Linked DNA regions of Kluyveromyces lactis. The protein of the gene in region 3 interacts with the protein of the main gene of each other region in a pairwise test. Links are inferred from orthologs where the notes say so. Each region holds a gene or a part of one and is shown on either strand. Other genes may lie near its edges.

Region 1 (2,235 bases), on a different chromosome or scaffold from region 3:
AATTAAACGTAACGTAAACGTATTGAGAAACGATTTGAGACGAATCATCGAAAGAGTCGAGTATCTATTGCCACTTGAATTTGAATCGCTTAATAAGCAAAACGCAACTGTAGGAAAGATGCAGACGCTTGAAATGGGAGATAGCAACGAGGATTCAGATCTAAATCTAGATTCTTTGATCGCTTTTGCAAAAGTGGTGGACGTAAAATTAGGATCTCCAAGTCATGACGCAGGATTACAAACAGATGATCTTATCATTAAATTCGGCACCGTACATGCCCTTAACCACAATAATCTATCCAATATCGGTAAACTTGTTCAAACTCGTATAGATGAAGAGATCGTACTTAAGATAAAGAGAAATAATGATATCGTTACTATACAGTTGGTACCTAGGTCCTGGCAAGGCGCAGGGTTACTAGGATGCAGGATAATACAAATTTGAATGAGAGGACAGCATATAATGCATATATATTCAACATCTCGGCAGTTTTTCCAGATCATCCACCGTGTAGCGTTGAGGTGAACGAAACAACGTCACCGTCTTCCAATACGTACTCTTTTTCACCTTCAAGTTCCCAATCGGTATCGTTGATCAAAGTCAAAATTCCTGGTCTGATACTATCGTTCTCTAAGAAAACATTCACGTCACCTTCATGTTCAATAAGGTTATCTACGATCCATTGGATTAAATCTCCGACATTGATCTCATCCTTCCCATCCAGTTGAACATCCACTTTATATTGTCTCTGTTTCTTGACAATAACATCCAATCCACCTAGAAATTCAATAATAACTCTGACCATTGTGGATTAATTTATCTGATATGTCCTAGTTTGACCTTGACCTGTATGTGATGTTTAATCAGTATCTCAGTAGTGACATGTCAAAGCTCATCATTATATTTCTTGGGTCCTTGGTTTCTGCTGAGAGGGAAAACTCACAAAAAAAAAAAATCGGGTGGAAATGACTTTGTCAGGTCGATCGGTACACCAATCCCCAAATTCTCTTCAATAACAATTAATATGCTCGCGTGGCGTAATGGCAACGCGTCTGACTTCTAATCAGAAGATTGTGGGTTCGACCCCCACCGTGAGTGCTTTATTTTTTTCTCATTTTTTCCCATTTTTCTGCTCATTCATAGCTTTCCTTTAGAAGTCACGGGACCGAGTATACCAAATAAAACTAAAGTACCAACTATACCGTATAGTTAGTTACCCAACCGCAGGATATACACCTCACACAAAAATGGCATTCCCTCTCCAACAAATTGTCCATTCTTCCATCGATTTCTCTGTCACTTCCAGCTCCGTTCCGTTCCCTTCTTCCATACTATGGTGATGACTCTGAAAAATTTTTAAAGGCATCGAGAAAATTGCTGAGTAACACAGACAGACCTCTGCAGATGAGCGTACCTGCAAACCGGTTGATATTTCTTAGACTTTGATTATGGATGACCAGGGTAAATGAGTCAGTCAAGCTGCAAAGGGAAAGAAAATGTCATCAGGTTAATCAACGATTTGCCAAGTGCATTATGAGTAATAAAAAAAAGCTGATGATGTGTTGCTAACATTGATTCATATATATATACATACATTCAAAACTTGAAATCATTCATACCACCTTAATTTGGTTGGTAATTAAAAAGGAAAACCCATCAGGCACATAGAGAAGTAAAGAGTCATTAGAGCAAGATGCCATTCTACAAAGATCCTTCAGTGAAGTATAAACCATTCGTTAGCAACGTCAAATTACAGGACAGGAAATGGCCTAGTAAAACCCTTAATAAGGCTCCAAGATGGTTAGCTACCGATTTAAGAGATGGGAATCAGTCTTTACCTGACCCGATGAATTTGGAAGAGAAGAAACTGATGCTCGATAAGTTATGCGAATTGGGTTTCAAAGAGATTGAAGTTGCTTTCCCTAGTGCTTCTAATATCGATTTCCAATTCACTCAATATGCAGTGAAAAACGTACCAGAAGACGTTTCCATTCAAGTTCTTTCTCCATGTCGTGAACCCTTGATCGAACGTACCGTTGAATCTTTGGTCGGTGCCAAGAGAGCCATTGTACATATCTATCTCGCGACATCACCATGTTTCAGAGAAATCGTTTTCAACAATATGTCTCATGAAGAAAGTATTGAAAAGGCTGTGAAATGTGCCAAACTTGTTAGGTCCTTGACAAAAGACCATCCGGATAGACAAGATACCCATTGGTCATTTGAGTTTTCTC
Region 2 (3,156 bases), on a different chromosome or scaffold from region 3:
CCTATATCTCAATCAATGAAAATCTGCTAGATCCTATTGATGCTTACTACTGAGTGTTATTTCCTGAGGCTTTCGTTCGTCCTGTTCCATACAATAGCTCAATGTTTACAAAACTTTTTATATATCATAATTAATTTTGCACTTTTCTACTTTTTTTTTCGATTACGGAAACTTCTTACCTATGGGAATCTCTGATGCTGCTCGTAATAATCCGTATTTGTGTTTGATCGGAATGGGAAGCTGCATTTTTTTTTTTTTCGGTTTGGGATCTGGAATATTTTTTGGGTCGAAATCTTTACATGTGGGGTCCGAAACCATGTTTTGGAGGGAGCGCGAGTCGGATTCCAATAGTTAGGAGCAATGGAGAATATTCGGAAAGACGGGTAATATCAATTCCTTTATGTCACGTGATCTGTACTTTCAACTTGTGTTATTATTTTCTTTTTTTGTTTATTCAGGTTCCGTTTGTTAGCTTATGTCGTTCAATATGGGAATGGAGGATCATGCTCATTATCAATAAATAATTCATGCTATTGATTAGAAAGTTACTTCTCATTAAGTACGCTATTTACATGCAGATGTGGTTGAATTATTCCCAAAATTCTCTTTTCTCTCTTCTGGCCTTCAACCACTGCTTTTTACACTCTCTGTAAGCGTCGAAATAGTCATGGCATAGGTCTCTGTCGTAGTTGTTTAATTCAAGGCACTTGAAAGACATTTTAGATGATTCCTGGCATGGGTCGTAGTATTCAGAAGCACCTTTCACTGCAAATCTGTATCTGTTCAACGTAGATTCTGGATCATCAGGATAGAACTTGTAGGTGTTGACATCAGTCTTTTCCGGTGTAAAATTGACCTTAGTCTTATTGAGTTCGAGACTGGGGTCGACGTTCTCTGCCACCTTTTCAGGCTGTTGCAGCTTTTCAGCTGGTTGTGTTGTTTCTTGTTTATCGGTCATTTGTTGTTAGTAAGGCAGTAAGTTGCTAGCTTGAGCCTTTTTTTTATTTTCCCCTTTACCAGTAACTCATCTGCTACTAGTTCATCTGGATTCATTTTAACATTTCAATATTTTACTATGGTTTTCAGAACTCCAAAATTTCTAGATTGAAATTTCATGTTAACAACCACAGTGAAATGAAAATAAAAAAAAAAAAAAAAGAAAATCAATCTCATCTCATCTCATCTCTTAATAGTAACTAGTCACTGAATCAAATAAAAGCCTGTTAATACGTGCTTGCAAACCTTATCGCTGCGTCCAACTATCATGGTCATTTGTAAAAGGTGTAAGCTGCTGGATGCAACTCTAGTCTCGAGAAAAGAACCATTTTGTGATGAATGTTTCGTGAAATTTATTTCTTTGAAACAGAGGAAGCAGATGATGTCTGATGACTACTTCCAAGATATATTCAAAATCTCATATCCAGATAAGAAACGTGGTCAGGCAGAAGCTGATAAGCAAAATCAAGATTCCAATGTTCTCGTGCCGCTTTCTTTGGGATCCTCTTCTTTGGCAGTTTTAGATATCTTGAACGATACTTTGTTGGAGCAGAAACAAACACACCGGGGAAAAACTGGATTTCACGTAGAAGTAATCACGATTTGTGGACAGGCAGAGTTTGAAGAAGTGCGCGGTAAGATTGAACTTCTGAAATCAAAATATAAAGAAAACTCCGATAAGATTCTGTTCCATATTGTTGACAGAAATCAATTCTTTGCCGTGCCGTTTGATCTGCAAGAAATTACACTGTACATTGATAACTTCAACACTCTGGTAAGATCATCAAATAATCCAAGTACTACTGTAGAGAAAGTGCTTGCCAGCGCGCCTAACAAAACAGCGAAAGAAGATCTTTTGAACATTATTTATACCCATTTGATTAAGAAATTTGCCTTACAAAGAAATTTCAAAGCCATCTTATGGGGTCACTCGATGACAAAGTTAGCTGATGAAGTCATTAGTCTGACTGTTAAAGGACGTGGTGCAGAAATCGCAGGTTATCTTGATGATTCTTCCCTCGATAGTAAATATAATACCGCCTTCAGAAACTTTCATCCAGGCCGGGACGTTTTACTGTCAGAAATTGATGCTTACTGTCATATAAAAGGGCTTTCGCAATTCTCTCATAATTATGTTGTCCAGGACACTTTGTTTTATGACAAATTTGTGGACAAGCCTACCAAAAATGTCAAACTTATCAAAAATATGACGATGAATGAACTCGCGAGACAGTATTTTGATAACATTGAAGGTGATTACTCAAACGTGATATCTACAGTTGTTAGAACAGGTGCAAAATTATCTAACCCTGATAATGAACTAAATCAAATCATGCACTGTAGTATTTGCAATGCCATTATTTATAAGAATCCAGTAAATTGGCTTGACGGTATCACAGTTAGCAAGCCATTTGTGATTCATAATGAGGAAGAACTGACCAACTACAATGCCTGGGAGGCAGCTAATCCAGACAAAGCCGAAAAACTAAACAAAATGAGTGATACTCCTGCCAAGAATGTAGGCGTGTGTTACGGTTGTATTACCACTCTAACTGGCATGAAAGATAGAAAGTTAGAGTGGATACGAAGAGATGATAAAGCAGAACTAACAGCGGTTCTTCAAGAGTATGAAATCCCATCAGATGATTCTGAACAATAATAGATTTAGCTCTTTCAATTATACAGCTGAACTATCAAAATATTCCTTAGATGAAAAGTCTCATATATAAATATATGTAAGTGAAATTGCGAAATGCTGTAATGTCTCATCTTTTCAAGATACTCAATAATTCAGATGAAGGGTTGGAAGGAGTTTCTTGAACAGGAGCATTTGGCTTGTGTAATATATTCAAAAGTTCTTGCTGTTTAGTAAAACCTTGGTTTGGTGCAGGTTGTCCCATGTTAAGTGGCTGAGGTTGCATAGGATATCCATTAATCGGTTGCTGATATTGGAATTGCTGCTGAGGAGAGAAGCCTTGGGGAATATATGACATATTTTGGGGAGGATAACCTGGAGGTGGCATCATTTGCTGCATTTGCTGCATTTGGAAAGGCTGTTGAGGCTGTACTTGCAGAGGAGGCATCCTATTGTATTGGGTGTTGTGTGTCACAGGATCGTCCGATATTTGCGAGTTTAGGCCGGTCTTGGGATTCTTCAAT
Region 3 (2,955 bases):
CATTGGAGCTTTTCTTAAACAACTTAGAACTGAAAATTTTGTTACTAGTAAGTTTATGAAGCGGCTCGAAACTTGAAGATTGCTTTAAAACATTGTTAGGTGGGTACCCTGATGGATAAGATAGCTCAGTCCCAAAAGAACCTTGTGAGTTTCTCCTGTTTTCGGGACTTTCGTTGGAAGATTTTCTGGGGCTATTATCTAAAGATGAAGCTCTTTTATGAGTTTTTATAAAAGACCTCATTGTTGTTAAATTGTTAATGCGGTCTCAACGACCGTTATCGTGTTTTGTTATCCTACACCGTTGTGTATTTTCCGTCTTTGTATTGTTCATCATGCATTATTAGAACTTCTATTATATCTGAAATACTGCAGTTAAATTGCATTCATCAAAAAAAAATGTGCAACTGTAACGATTTTGAGATGTAAATAAAATAATTATAAATATGGTAATATTTAGTAAAGACATGCAGGAAGGAGTACTAAAATGAGCAGCTAATAGTTCAGAACTGTAATTTCTCAAGAGTTCTTGATAGTTTTGCAGCTCCCTCAGTAGTTGAATCTTTTTCAAGTTGGATCTTAGCTCTGTTTTGTTCCAATCCCTCTAAAAGCATGCACGCTTTACATATCTTATTACTGGAAAGATATCCGCATCTTTCGCATCTGTTTCCATCGATAAACTCATTTTGTAATGACACTGAGCCATCGGGCCGTATTTCCATGTGACTTGGTGGTGGTGCCTTCTTAGCGCGCTTTGGTTTTAGCTTCAAGCTTTCTCCGCTGTGAATGATGTCGATAATGCAACTTGGTCTGATTGCTTCCAGGTTCTTCATGAGTTCTCTAGCGGTACCTCTAAACGCTTCCGGGGCATAAGAACACTCGGTTGAAAAGTAGTCTAATTTCTTATAGTGGGCATACAAGACAATTTCCTTTTGGTATGAATACTTGAACGGCTTCGACCTCTTGATCGGTGACCCACTACTCTGAGTAAGAATGGATGTTGATTTTTCCAGCCTGGCAACATCACCACGTAAAATGTTCATCAAGACGGTTTCCGCCATATCATCCGCATTATGACCAGTAACTACATGTTTGATTCCTAGCTTGGCAGCTCCTCTGTCTAGAGCTTGTCGCCTGAAGACTCCGCAATAGGTACAACTGTTTCTTATGCCAGCGCATGCTACGATCTCATCCATTGTCCAATTGTACAAATCTTTATAAGATACTATTTCCAACGGAAGGTCATACTGTACTTGATTTCTCTTCACTGTAGCTAACGAATCGTCTCTATATCCGACAATACCCTCATCAATACTCAAAAGAACAATCTCAACTCCATAATCATGGCGATCATTCAAAAGCTTTAAAACGTATGCTAAGACCGTGGAATCTTTACCTCCAGAAGCACCGACTGCAATACGTTCGCCTCGGTGAAAAAGGTTGTTTGATACAATGGTGTTATGTATTTCTGTCTCGAATACAGAGAAGAAACACTCTTTACAGATCCGTTGTAAATTCTTCGGTCTTTTCATCACTGCCTTTCTCGCATGGCATAGTTCACAGAGCTGTGAGACCTTTACCTTGACGGATTTCTTCGGATCAGTCGGTGGTGTAAACATGGAGACTTGATTTGTCTGACTGTATAGCGGTGTGTTACACGATAATGGGATGTTTTTGGCTGTTTCATAAACAATGATCTTATCTTCTACTCATCTCGATGAAGTTGACCATTGGGATGCATAAAATCTTTCAAAAGAAATTCTACATAGCGCTGTCACATTTGCGGGTAACAGTAAATATGTACTGTCGATTTTTGATATAATGAAAGTGACACACCGTAATCGCTGGTTTAAGACTGGAGATTCGACAAGTGAAGATCACTTGAGGGTACTATGTATTGTATGTACTTAACCCCTTCATTTAACATAGCGAATTCAATTTTGAAACCTTACTGATATAAATTACCATTTACACTTTTATTCTTTTTTGCAAGAGAAAGTACATTCACGTACAAAAATCATAATAGATAACATAGTCGCTTACATCGTTACCGTCAATTCTTGCAAATATTTTTCAGACGCGTACTTATATTAATGCTTTCACTCTTCTAAAATAAACAATTCAACATTTAGACAACAAGGTCAATGCTTGGTTTTTAGTTGGATGTACTCTTTCAACGTATATTTTCAACATTACACAAGATTTGACACATCACATTAAATTCGAAAAGTAAACAATTCTTAAAACACTATAAAATGGAATAAGAACTGAAAAGTGTATTGTACAAGGCATGCAACTTGCTCAGTTAACTCAAAAGGAATAGGCAATGTTCATTTGGTTGCACATTCCATACTGAAGTGGACGGTAACACACTATGAGTGAAAATGTGCAGGTTGTTATTCGTTTACGACCGGTACACACGAAGACGAATTTTAAGGTTCAAAATCAAACTATATCTACTGTGGAACCACCACTGAGGTCATTCAATTTCGATCATATATTTGATACATCGTCATCACAGACTGATATACCTGGAGAGTTATGTTCCAAGTACGTCTTGCATGCCCTGGAAGGTTATAATGCTTGCATTTTTGCATATGGACAGACGGGATCTGGTAAAACATACACAATGCGTGGGACTAATTCAAACCCAGGAATTATCCCGTTACTTTGCCGTGACTTATTTGATGCCTTAGAACTGGATAAAACAACGGTATCTTCCGTGTCAATAACATACTTTGAGATTTACAACGAGAAACTTATAGATTTATTAGGCGATACATCGCCGAGGGTGCGTGAAACAAATGATAAGAAAACTTTTGTACAGGACATCACTACTTTCAAAGTAAACAGAGTGGAAGAAGTGTTGGAGTATTTGTCTATAGGTGACTCAAAAAGATCTGTTGCATCAACTCGGATGAATATGGAATCCAGCCGCTCGCATGCCATATTTACGTT

Evidence for each region.
Region 1: the proteins of NCS6 (region 3) and URM1 interact in binary tests that used the Saccharomyces cerevisiae proteins (3 or more experiments, as listed by UniProt). The link is inferred for Kluyveromyces lactis from reciprocal best matches to the Saccharomyces cerevisiae genes NCS6 and URM1.
Region 2: the proteins of NCS6 (region 3) and NCS2 interact in binary tests that used the Saccharomyces cerevisiae proteins (3 or more experiments, as listed by UniProt). The link is inferred for Kluyveromyces lactis from reciprocal best matches to the Saccharomyces cerevisiae genes NCS6 and NCS2.

What each region holds. Positions count from the first base shown.
Region 1 is NC_006040.1:1,211,633-1,213,867, forward strand, and holds URM1 (ubiquitin-related modifier URM1), read right to left. Parts: upstream 807-2,235; coding exon 501-806; downstream 1-500. Other genes in the region: NAS2 (Nas2p), read left to right, coding at 1-445; KLLA0_D14201g (2-isopropylmalate synthase), read left to right, coding at 1,695-2,235.
Region 2 is NC_006042.1:2,237,222-2,240,377, reverse strand, and holds NCS2 (Ncs2p), read left to right. Parts: upstream 1-1,264; coding exon 1,265-2,656; downstream 2,657-3,156. Other genes in the region: COX23 (Cox23p), read right to left, coding at 590-958; DCP2 (decapping enzyme complex catalytic subunit), read right to left, coding at 2,763-3,156. UniProt on the Saccharomyces cerevisiae protein: Plays a central role in 2-thiolation of mcm(5)S(2)U at tRNA wobble positions of tRNA(Lys), tRNA(Glu) and tRNA(Gln). May act by forming a heterodimer with NCS6 that ligates sulfur from thiocarboxylated URM1 onto the uridine of tRNAs at wobble position.
Region 3 is NC_006038.1:57,594-60,548, forward strand, and holds NCS6 (Ncs6p), read right to left. Parts: upstream 1,617-2,955; coding exon 501-1,616; downstream 1-500. Other genes in the region: ZRG8 (Zrg8p), read right to left, coding at 1-241; KLLA0_B00759g (kinesin family protein), read left to right, coding at 2,372-2,955. UniProt on the Saccharomyces cerevisiae protein: Plays a central role in 2-thiolation of mcm(5)S(2)U at tRNA wobble positions of tRNA(Lys), tRNA(Glu) and tRNA(Gln). Directly binds tRNAs and probably acts by catalyzing adenylation of tRNAs, an intermediate required for 2-thiolation.